Linked DNA regions of Arabidopsis thaliana. The protein of the gene in region 1 interacts with the protein of each later gene in a pairwise test. Each region holds a gene or a part of one and is shown on either strand. Other genes may lie near its edges.

The links. Proteins that work in one complex are often made in the same cells at the same time.
Region 2: the proteins of HB26 (region 1) and AT1G26300 interact in a two-hybrid assay, tested with the Arabidopsis thaliana proteins (one large-scale study listed by BioGRID).

The regions. Positions count from the first base shown.
Region 1 is NC_003076.8:24,321,050-24,325,450, reverse strand, and holds HB26 (homeobox protein 26), read right to left. Parts: upstream 2,081-4,401; 5' UTR 1,954-2,080; coding exon 1,282-1,953; 3' UTR 1,116-1,281; downstream 1-1,115. Other genes in the region: AT5G60470 (C2H2 and C2HC zinc fingers superfamily protein), read right to left, coding at 2,661-3,480, 4,123-4,401. UniProt on the Arabidopsis thaliana protein: Putative transcription factor.
Region 2 is NC_003070.9:9,094,669-9,102,134, forward strand, and holds AT1G26300 (BSD domain-containing protein), read right to left. Parts: upstream 5,098-7,466; 5' UTR 5,079-5,097; coding exon 4,646-5,078; intron 4,579-4,645; coding exon 4,472-4,578; intron 4,371-4,471; coding exon 4,273-4,370; coding exon of another isoform or gene 4,269-4,272; exon of another isoform or gene 3,888-4,268; coding exon of another isoform or gene 3,489-3,887; exon of another isoform or gene 3,413-3,488; coding exon of another isoform or gene 3,383-3,412; exon of another isoform or gene 2,975-3,382; intron 1,960-2,974; coding exon 1,763-1,959; intron 1,558-1,762; coding exon 1,508-1,557; intron 1,421-1,507; coding exon 1,355-1,420; 3' UTR 1,100-1,354; downstream 1-1,099. Other genes in the region: AT1G26290 (uncharacterized protein), read left to right, coding at 3,383-3,412, 3,489-3,887; CAL (K-box region and MADS-box transcription factor family protein), read right to left, coding at 5,662-5,761, 5,976-6,124, 6,725-6,766, 6,978-7,019, 7,154-7,253, 7,342-7,412.

The sequences.
Region 1 (4,401 bases):
GATTAAAAATTCATATATATGTCTTTTGCAATAAAAATTCTGATGAAATAGCATCCAATTAATATTTTTTCAAATAAAAAATCACATTCATTTGTATGGAATTATTTTGTATTTCACCCATTCATATATATGTCTTTTGCAATAAAAATTCTGATCTACTGATCAAATACAAAATCCAATACTATAAAGTTTAATCTAGCGTTAGTATAAATTGATAATACATTTATTTTTTTAAAAACCATCCTACAACTATAGCAACAAATTCGTTCTTCATTTTAATTTAAGTCAAAGAATTAAATTGGTTTGCCACATGCATGATTGCAAATCTGGGAAAATGGAAGTCCAGTCGATCAATTTAATAATTATTCAACAAAACGAATCTCTTTATAATTTGGAATTTGAAACTTGAAACAGCATATAGGTGACGACTCCTCCTTCGTCAAAGAATCTTCCATTAAATATCACCCCAATAAGAAGCTTCTGATGACAAGGAATAAAGACCATCAGATGCTTCGTTCAAGATGTGTGTGAAGAGCCAACTCTTTACGGAAAGATATATGTATTAGGACAATATAGTGTATAGATACAATTGCATTATCCTTATTTAGGACAATTATATGAGGGCTGTTACCGAAGCTTTATCCTTAAATGGATGTACATATAATATCCTAATCACGTATCTTATTAGTTAAAATCTACTTGCCTTTAAAGTTCAGGAGATTCGTTTGTAGTGTCAACGAGAATGGGTCACATCTTGTATTCAAAAGGAGTGTTATTGTGTTTCTCAATGTCACTAGTTAAAGTAGCCGTGTCAAGTAGGAAGTATCTATATAGAGACTACATCCTGTTTTCACCTTTTACTCCTTAAACTAGGATTAGTACTGTAGAGAAAGAAAAAAAACTAGGTACTGATTTCCTCCTATATATTAACCAGTTACCTATATATTTCAATTTTCTTAGTTACTCACTCATGAATTATTATTTACAGCATTGTTACACTATATACTTACTTATATATAAATATAAACAAAAAAGAGAGAGTAAATACCCTTAATATCACTCGAATACATATCCATATACATGTCATGAGTCATGATCCATCGTTACAAGTTATGCCCAAAATGACAAGTCTTCTAGGATAATAATTTTTAATTTTAAAAAAACTTAGATAATTTATATTTCTGACGTGACATTCCGGTCGGATCAGAGACTACCGTAACCTCTTTTTGTTTCGGTTTTTCCTTATCTCAAGAAGATGAAGACCCATCACTGTAAAGAGATCTACAACTTCAAATTCAAAGACATAGAGGACGTCGTGTCTCTGCTCCTCCCGTTGTTAAAGTACTTATTGTTGTGGATCCAAACCTTAAGAACTTTTCTCTCTATTCCAACTTCACTACAAAACTCTCTCACCCACTTCTCATCCCAGCCGTTAATCTTCCACCCCGCTCTCTCCGCGAAACCTCTCATCTTCACCTTCTGCTCCGCCGTGAATTTCGTCCTCTTATGTTTCTTAATCATCGCAGTCTTCCTAACATCCCTTTCCACCGTAAATTTGTTCTTGACTTCTTGATCCGAGGGTCCAAAGAAACCGGAGCTAAGAGAGAGAAGCAAGTTCGGAACAGGGGCGAGTGGCTGCAGCTGTAACGGAGACGGTGGTGACCGGTGCTGACTGAAGCCGTCAGAAGGACTACGACGGTGGAAGTTGCGATGGCAGCCACAAGCATCGCACCTAAGGGACGGAGGGTCCGTGAGGATGGTGGTTGACTTTGGTGTGAACTCACCGCAGCCGTCAAGAGCGTGGCCTCCGAGACTGACCGCGTGGTTTTTAAGGCACTCGTTGTACAAGACAACCATATCTCGGGCGCAGGCGATTGTTTGTTCTCTGCCGGTGTCTTGGTTGTTTGTTGTTGGTGACAAAAATTGTCTGTTTGGTTTTGATAACGAGCTCATGTCTGATTCTTATTTCACTCACTAGTGCGTTTATACTCTGTTTCTGGAAATGTTGTCAATGACATAAAGGGAGAGATTTTGTCCAATAGGTTTATATAAATAACATTGTTGATTGCAATTTGGATTAGTAAATAATCCTATTATTTAGCATTAGTTTGGAAACTTTTTAAAAAGACAAGAAGAATGAGATGCGTGTTTTCAGTCATGATTAATCAAATCTGAAAACGCTTAAGAATTATATAAAAACCTTACGTTTCTTTTTTTTTGGGGGGGAGGATAAAAACCTTACGTTTCTGCAAGAAAAGAGATTTCGAATTTCATGCATGATCCATGGTTAGGTTTCTCTATGCATGGTGGCACGTGGGGCCAAATAACTTTCAATCTTTGTCAACCGAGTTAACCTGGTCTACTAAATCGAGTTGACTCAGAAATTCTCTCGTGATCTACGCTTTTCTCCTATTGTTGTGGATGGTTGTCTCGCATCTAGCTCCCATCCCATACGTTGTCTCCAATGAGAGAAAATATATAAATAAAATTTTTAGATTTAAACAATACACTTCCACGTACATATTATTTTGTAAACAAATTATCGCTTCAGGTTTTTGTTCTATAGTTTTTCTAAAGAACTTGTGGAGATAGTTTTTCTATCTTTAATTACCTTGCATGTCAACAAAAACGAGTAATTTCAGAATCAGATGACGCCATGTCTATGGTTGCTTCCTGCCTACAATGGTTGCGGCCAACTTGGGAATATCATGGTTCGCCGTCAATGGCACGCTTGATGGGAAGCGATGACGATGTAGACGTTGTTGGTCCTCACTACTTCCCACACCAAGAAAGTCTCTGGTCAACTCTTCTTCATTATTCTTCGCCGTTAAACAATAGGAGTTTAGCATCGTATTGTTGAAGATGGAGGAAGTCATTTGCCCAAACATGGTGGTGCTAGTTTCGGAGCTTGATGGTGTTCCCGTTTGAGCTACCTTTTGAAGCAATGTTGTTGCCGAAAATGAAGCCATATTCACTGCTTCTTGATTATACGAGAACAAGGATGCTATGTTTCCATCGGTTGGGTTTGAGCCGCTGTAGATATTTCCCTTCTTTATCTCATCTTCTTGATTCTTGAATATTCCCTTATGGAATATGTTTTTGTTATTGTTCATATATTCATTGAGTAACCACTGGTGTGCACATTCCTCTTCTTGTAACTTCCATAGATTATGAACCGAATCAGATGTACTACGAGGTGATGGTGGTGAGGACAACGCCAAAGCATTGGGTTGTTGTTGGGTTGGGTTGGAGTTGGTGAACTTTTGTCCAAATAGGGTGGTGTGATTGTTGTTGACGTTAAGATCGGCCGTACCTGTGGAAGATTGATCCAATTGTGATTGAATGAGAATTGGATTGTTGGTATCAGTGACAGTGGCGATGGTCGAATTGGCGGCTAATGGTGAAGGAACTGAGAAGAATTTAGAACTTTCTTCAGCTAAGACATCACAGAAGGATCTATGTGAGATGAAACTGTCCTTCCTGGTACAATCAACCAAATCATTCAATAAAGTAACTATGTTAATATAGGCTAATTGGTAACATATAAATTAAATTAAAATAGGTCTTCTTGTATATGGTATATATGCAACTCTTTATTCGATGCAAGCTTATAATCGATATGTGTAGTAAGGTGAAAAAAAAAAGACTCAAGGCTATGGAGACATGACCACATCATGTCCTAGTCATGCAGCCTTTTTTCTCCTCGATATTGGTGTCTCTATAAAACTACAAACTGGACCAAGACACAGAGAAGCCAAGAAATAATTAACGGTAGTGGTATCCAAATGACAAGCTACGAGCCAAAGACCAACGTACTCGCTATACATAAAGTAAACTCAATAACTTTTTATTTTTCTAGCATAGGCAATATCATGCTTTTATGTATGCATGCATCTGTTTCGATGTCCAATTATAAGACCCGGTTTGTTTCAAATATAATTCAAATATGTTTTGTGTTTTACGTTTATATTTATATTTTTATCAAACACTTCAAATAAATGCAAACCTGAAGATTTGAAAACGTTTTTTCCGTTGTTACAATTTTTAAAAATGTTTGATATATGAACATGTTAAGGCAAACGATAATGCTGCAGACGAAGACGTAGAAAGAGTAGTAATGACCTGGAGAAAAGAGTACCACAATCACATCTAAACTCTCTGCTACCACAAATCTTGTTATGAGCTTTCCAATCGGATATCACAGCATACTTCTTGGAACACTTATCGCATTTCCACTTCTTCTCTCCATGTTTCCTGCTAAAGTGCTTCTTTATTCCAGTAAGGTCTCCTAGGGCTCGAGCTGGATCATGATGGACGCAACTCTTCTCAGGGCATATATAAACTTTCTTCTTCACCTGATTCTTGTTCGTTTTCTGCTTCAGCTTCCATGGCAGGTTGTGG
Region 2 (7,466 bases), on another chromosome or scaffold:
ATTATTAATGAAATACAGTTAGGGATGCTATGGTAGTTGAACCTATAATAAGCCATGGGGTTTTGCCTTTTTGGATCTGTCCCTCTCTAGATTTTTTTTTTTCTTATAGATTGATGTCTAATTAATACAATATTAGTGTACTAAACGGCTATACCATTTTAAATAGTCTAGTCTTTAAATTAAATGCATCACCAACGGCTATCTGATGAAGATGGTTATCAAAATACTTTACATTGTATTTTTATTTTTTTTAATTAAACACTATACATTGGGGATATGAGATTCGACTATTAAACACACAAAATAATTTGTTAGACTTATGTAAGAACATCATCTCCAATGGGGAGCTCTTAGTGATTTTTTTTGTTGATAAAACGTGAATTTCTTAAAGATTAAGTAATCAAAAAATAATTTAAAAGAAGAAAATACAGTAAAAGGGGTTCTTATTTTTTTTCTTTGGAAATAAAATAATGAAGAAATACTTGACAAAACAAATTGTCTTTATTGATGAAGTGTCAGCAATGTATCACGTATGTAATGTAAGAGGTACCCCTAGTTTCGTGATGAAACCATGTGGAATATTTTCCCGAAATGATGTAGACCGTCTTCGCTTTTTATACACTTTTTGTTCTTTATACATTGTCCTACTATATATTTAAACAATATAAAAACGAATAATAATATTAGAGGGATAACGAGAATTGGTCGTTTCTTCGTCTGACAAAACTATCTCTCTATGGGCGGGTCTATCCGTTGGCTGTGACTGCCTCTTGTTTTTTACTCACGCATGGCCATTGTTTAGATGTTCTTTCTCATACAGAGCACCGAACCAAAAAGAATTGTCTACAACTAAAACTATTGTATTGAGTTGCTTGGTGAGAAAGAAACTAGTGTTTGTCTTGTGTTTAGAGTTTACCTTTTAAGTTTTACCAAACGCCAACGATTGTTACAAGTATAAACTCAAAATGCATCTACGAAATATGGAACTAAGAAATAAAATTGAGATTGTGGTTTGAGGCCAGAGACAACGTTGCCATCAACACTCCTTCATAAATCTATAATGAATGCACTGCTTAGGAGATTTCAGAGTGCACCGAGATTCGGAAAAGCATGAATAGATTTCATTGTGAATTTGTGATGGGTGAACCCAAAAGACTAGAGAAGTTTAGAGTTGAAGTAATTGACTACTTATCGGTAGCAGTGCTGTACAAAACGAACCAGAGGACTGTTTGGCAAAACAAATGAATCATATATGAATTGCGAAATCAAGGTCTTCGTATGCATCACTTACTAAATCAAAACTATACATTTCAAGCATCTTCTTCATTTACCCTTTTCTAATTGGAACTTAAAACTAACAAGACACTTCGTTTCCTGCATTTGTTGTAGCTTTAGATGATTGCTTCTCGTCTTCAACATCCTGTAAACACGCAGCATAGGAAGTTCCTTAGTCCGAATTCATGAACAACAAGGTCTACATTTGGCGGAAATGTAAAAGGGTGCTTACTGAGTTTCCAATCTTGTCAAAGTCATCCTCAAGGCTTCCATCACCATCATCTGGAAGGGGTTAAACACAAATTAATAGATTATACATCCTGCTAAACTGAGCTAGAGACACAGTATACACAAAACCAAATTCAACGCCTTGGCTGATTCAAACAACTTGATATACGTTTATAATGACAAAATTAGTGACGTGGATACAAGAGGAAGATAACCTAAACACAGTTAAAAGTAGGGAGCAGAGAAGAGAAATTCTCACCTGGAGCTTCATCACTGTCTTCTAGATCACCCAACAGGAATGTATCCAGATCCTGCTCAGAAGACGCAGTAGATGTTCTACGGATTGCAACATTCTTTTCTACTGTTTCTGTCTCTCCAGTCGCTGGAGCCTTCTTAGCTTCTTCATTTCCATGCTCTCCTTTGGTCTTAAGTTCCTCCATGTACTTCCTCTCATATCTGAATAAAGTCATTACAAAAGAATGCCTCAGAACAAGCCAACTACCAAGATAACATATCATATCGATGAGATGCAAGGATCAACAAATTGCTATCCTCTACATGAAGGACTGTTGAAACCATCATTATAGATATAAGTCTAAGCTAATGGCATTCTTTCATCTCACGATCTCCTAAATGCATTACCAGGCTTCTTTATCAAATCCCTTTGTCCACACATTACTCAATTCCTTAATTACGATCCTAACTCACTAGTGTGAGTTACGCTTGCTTATCACATAGTGCGATGGAGATTGTAAGAGTAACAACAAAATCTTCTTTTACAACCATACACTATCATCTACAAAATAACATTAAATCCTAAAATCCAATTAGTTTTTTTTCTTAGCAATAATATGATTAGGAGAAAATTTAGCAAAGAAATGCTATCGGTGTATTAAGACATGGTAACTGATTAAGAATAAGAATCAAATAATTTAGTTTGCAACCAAAATGTTTTTTACTTATAAGTGTTAAGTTTCTAAGTTTTTGTAAATTAATTGAACACACTATCCAATCCCTTAAGAGAAAGTTCAATATGATTTTCACATAATTAAATTTTTAACACTTTTAAGTTTTAATTTTTGTGTGAATTAATTGGACACACAACATCCAAGCTCCTAAGAGGTGTCTTAGGTTCAATATGGTTTACACATAATTAAATTTTTAACACTTGTTTTTTTTCTTAAATTTTTTTGTTTTTTTGATAAGTGTTAATTTTAAAATTTTTGTGTAAATTAATTGGATACAATATCCAAACCCCTAAGAGATGTTCTAGGTTCAATATGGTTTACAAATAATTAAATTTTTGACACTTGCTTTTTGGCAATTAATATTAATATTATGTATATTTACAATATAAAAAAACAATACTCATTATTTTATGTATATTAATTGGACATAATATCTAATTATATAAAAAATATTATGTATACTTACAATAAATTAATTAGAGACAACATCCAATCAATTTTGTTTTTCTTTGGAAACAAACATGTCAATCTTCTTCTAAATATCTCAGTCACAGATCGTAAAGATCCTACTTTTAAGCAATCCATAGCAGCCTTACAAGTAAAGCACTATTCTCACCAACATATAAAAAGGACATCAGTTTCAGTTTAATCAACCACAACAAAGTTTCTGAATCCGCAATTAGATATATTTGGAGCGTAAATGTTTCCAAGGATCTTTTGTTAACGGTCACATAAAACCATACAATTAAGAACTTTTTATAACCTTATTTGGACCACCAACTATTGTATAACTGAGTCCCACAAGGAACTCCATCAAGACATATGTCAATGTCAAAACGATATTGTTTTATAACCCCATTTGTTAATCTAGTGGGAAAGAAATATATGCGCAAGGCGAGAAGTGTGGAGCCATGGACCACAAAGACTATAGCCGACAAAATGTAAGAAAAATATGTACATTATACCTTCATCATGGAAAGAAAAGCAGCTACTCATTGTTTATAAGTATTATTGTAGGCGGAGAGGAGACTCTTATTGTCTAAAGACGAAGAGAGGATCCGCGATGAGCTAGAAATGGAAATCGAAAGAAATTTGGAAGGGGAATTCAAGGACGGGATCTACAATCTCGCACTCAAGCTGCGTCGACTTTATGAACAAAGACGAGAAAGAGAGGAGTTGTTCGATGTTTCAATGAGAAAGAGCAAGAGAGTATTGGAGGTGAACATAAATATAAAGATGGAAGGAGATACCAAGATTGAGATCACAGAGAAGAAGAAGGAAGTAGACAACGAAAAGACGAAAAAGGCAGAGAATTCGGACAAGAGAAAGAAGTTTGTAGCAGTTGGTGAAGATAAAACAGGAAAAGAAAAGATGAAGAATCAAACGAGGGCTCATGAGCTCAGATGGAAATGGTAAAGAGAATGATTGGCCTGGATCTGTGCCTATATGCTGGTATCTATCTATGTTTGCACTTTTTCTTCCTGCAAATCCTACTTAAACACGAATGAAATAAGAGTTATGCTTGCTTATCACATAGTGCGATGGAGATTGTAAGAGTAACAACAAAATCTTCTTTTACAACCATACACTATCATCTAACAAAATAACACCAAATCCTAAAATCCAATTAGTTTTTTTATTAGCAATAATATGATTAGGAGAAAGTTTAGCAAAGAAATGCTATCGGTGTATTAAGACATGGTAACTGATTAAGAATAAGAATCAAATAAATATATAGAAGAGATAAAATAATGCTATTCTATAAAATCATAAATTTATAGAAGAGATGGTAAAGACTTACGGAGAAACATGAGTGCTCACTAGTGTGAAATAAATCCTCCAGAACCTCCTTTCTTTCATGAAACGAGGGCAAAGTTCGTATCTTAACTTGGAGATTTGCTGCAACAATGTGCAATGTGCATACAAAATCAGCTAACTAGATTCCTAGAGTAGACACTACAAGTCATATAACATATGAAATCTCGAATTTGAAAGTTGACCTTGACAGAGGTTAGAACCAGAGTGGCATGTCTCTCTTGCCAATCCGAGAGATCCTTTCGAACATTCGAAGCATTTGTTATCACATCGGAAACTTCATCCCCTTGATCTATACAAGTAGCTCACATTCAGCGAAACGAAGAGCCAACAAAATCGAAACAAAAATCAACAAATACCTTGATCAGGAAAAGCTTGGAATGTAGCAGAGGTCAAGCCTTCAGCGAACTCTCTCAAATCATCCGTTACACCGAATTCGAGAAGCTCCGCTTCTGAACCGGATCCTGACCCGGTCCCGGTCCCGATTATATCAGCGATCGATTTGATGTTCTGGATCTGATCAGCTTGTTTCAGCGCGGCGACTTTGAACTGATCCGCCTTCTTTGAAGCTTCAGCAGCGAATTCTTTGGATTTCTTAGCCGTTTCAGCAACGAAATCGGCGGCATTGAATTGATCAGCTTTCTTCGAAGCTTCGAGAGCGAGTTCCTTGGATTTCTTAGCAGTCTCGGTGACGAGATTGACGAAGGTCGCGGAGGATGATTGTGTTATCGTCTGAGACTTCTTACCCGCTTCTTCTGCGAACGATTTTGCCCTCTTCCATAGATCCTCCATTGCTGCGACTACTATTTTTCTTTTCTTCTCCGATTTGTTTTATACAGTTTCTTCTTTGGCAAAATGCCAAGTATTATGGGCTTAAACAATGAACTAATAATTATGAAGCCCACAAGGGCCCAATAATTCTCATTTCCGATCGTATCACGCACCTACATGAAGCAAATGGAGAAGAAACCGAATGTCACGTTCCCAACATTTTTATTTCTATTTTCAATTCAAAATTTACCTTCTAAGGCTGTGATTTACTTTGACCAAGTAAAGTTCAAATCATCAAAGACTAAATTCGTATTACAAATATTTTTTTTGTGTGAAAGAAATCAAATTACAATGTAACGATGAGATCAATATAGAAAAGGTTTGAACAACAATTCTTTCTAGCTCTCTCAGTCCCCAAATATTACATTTATTCATTGCTCCCCGAAATACAAGATATATTGAATTGGAAAAAGGCTTGATCATGTTGATATGATATAAGGACATACCAAAAATATATTAATTAACCGGTGTTTAATATAGATCATGAGTAGAGGATCGATCTTATATTATTTTAAAGAGATTGATATAGATCGATGTAGTCTATTCAAGCGGCGTAACAGCCAAGGTAATTGTAAATGGGTTCAAGAGTCAGATCCAGATTGTTCCTCCTCATCGCCGTTTGGTCTTCTTCTTGGTACAAACCACTGAAATTACAATCATATATAGCAAATTAAAATCATAATACAATAATATGCATGCATACCATCAACCTCTAACGCCATACCTAACACAAACCCTATATATGAAGTGCATTCACTATCATTGCCTATATGACTGACTGAACACTTCACTATATATGAGAATTTGACATTATGGTAAGAAAAAAGAACTTAAAAAAACAAGAAATACTGCCGTTACCCCATATTTAGGAAAGGAGAAGTCTGATGAGCGATCATGTAAAGATGGGGGTGTTGAAATGGTTGTGGCTGTGGTACATCGTCGACGCTGCGGTTCAGCTGCTCACATTGGGTTTGTTTTGTCCTTAGGATGTTTTCCCTCTCCTTTATCTATACCGATTACACACGCCAAGAAAATGATATAAGCATCATCTTTATATAGATTCCCATTTGCAACTAATCAGCTATTTGCATTTATTCAAGGAACTTCAATTTTTTATTCTTATACTTTTTTTTGTAATATGATATTTTCAAACAAAATGCAAAGTAATAATTAAATCTGCAAAATGTTAAGCGAATTTTAGCGTCGTCAAGGTCTTACTATTGTGATATTTTTTCATTTAATATATGTTCTTTAATCAAGTAGTTTCATCGTACGTTTTCTTACTTCTCAATAAAACTTAAATAGAGCTCCTAGCTATCTAGCTAATGTATGTGTAATTTACACATAGACTATGATTATGAGAAGACAGTTCAAGTTCAAGTTCAAATCTGGGAGACAACCTTAATACTAAACGGACAAAGCTTACCTATACGTGCAGCTAGGCTCATGATTATACCAATCAAAAGAAACTACATATCAATTCTTTTTACTCAAAAGAGTTGGTGCCGAAAGTGGAGAGATGGTAGCTTAAGGTAGAGATTGAAGTGGAGTTCAACAGTGGAATTGTAAATAGTGAAACAGTTAGAAATGCAAAAAACAATGATCACCTGTTTGGTAAGCATGCTGTTTTCCTCCTGTATCTCCTTCTCCTGTCATTTCCACAAAAATGACACCATTGTCAATTTCTCTTTTTATATGATCTATATAAGTATATATACATCTAGTAATTAATAATATATTAACCTGAATTATATATAACCTATATGTTATTTATTTATTAAAAGATTTATATCTCTAACATATAAGTCATGACTCTATACACACAGGACTTGAGAGATAAAATGGTTTTAACTTAGCTACCTTTCTTTGGAGGTGGTTGAGGGACTCATTCATGAGTTGATTCTGCATACAAAAAGGCCAAAAATTATTTATTTATATGAGACAATCTCTATACAATATTTGACTATATGTAATATATCCACACAAAGTCAAAGTTAGTTATGCATAGAGATAGAGTGTGGGATATATTTACACACTTTTCTGGAGCGAATGTGCTTAAGAGCAGTCTCAAGCTGCTGCTCCAGATTTTGGAGATCCTTGAGGCTCATTGGTTCCAACTCTTCTCCCAGATAATGCCTATGATGATTTAGTTAATTAAGAACATTCTCTCTTCTGTTATTCCTCAATATTTAACTACTAAAATAAATTTAAATGTACTATGTACCTTTGGTTTCTCTCCAAAAGCTCAATCTTGGCCTTAAGCCTGCTATACTCCATTGACCAGTTCGTCTGTGCCTTCACAATTAATTTCCAACATGAAAGCCAATAATCAGTTTATATGCTATGTTA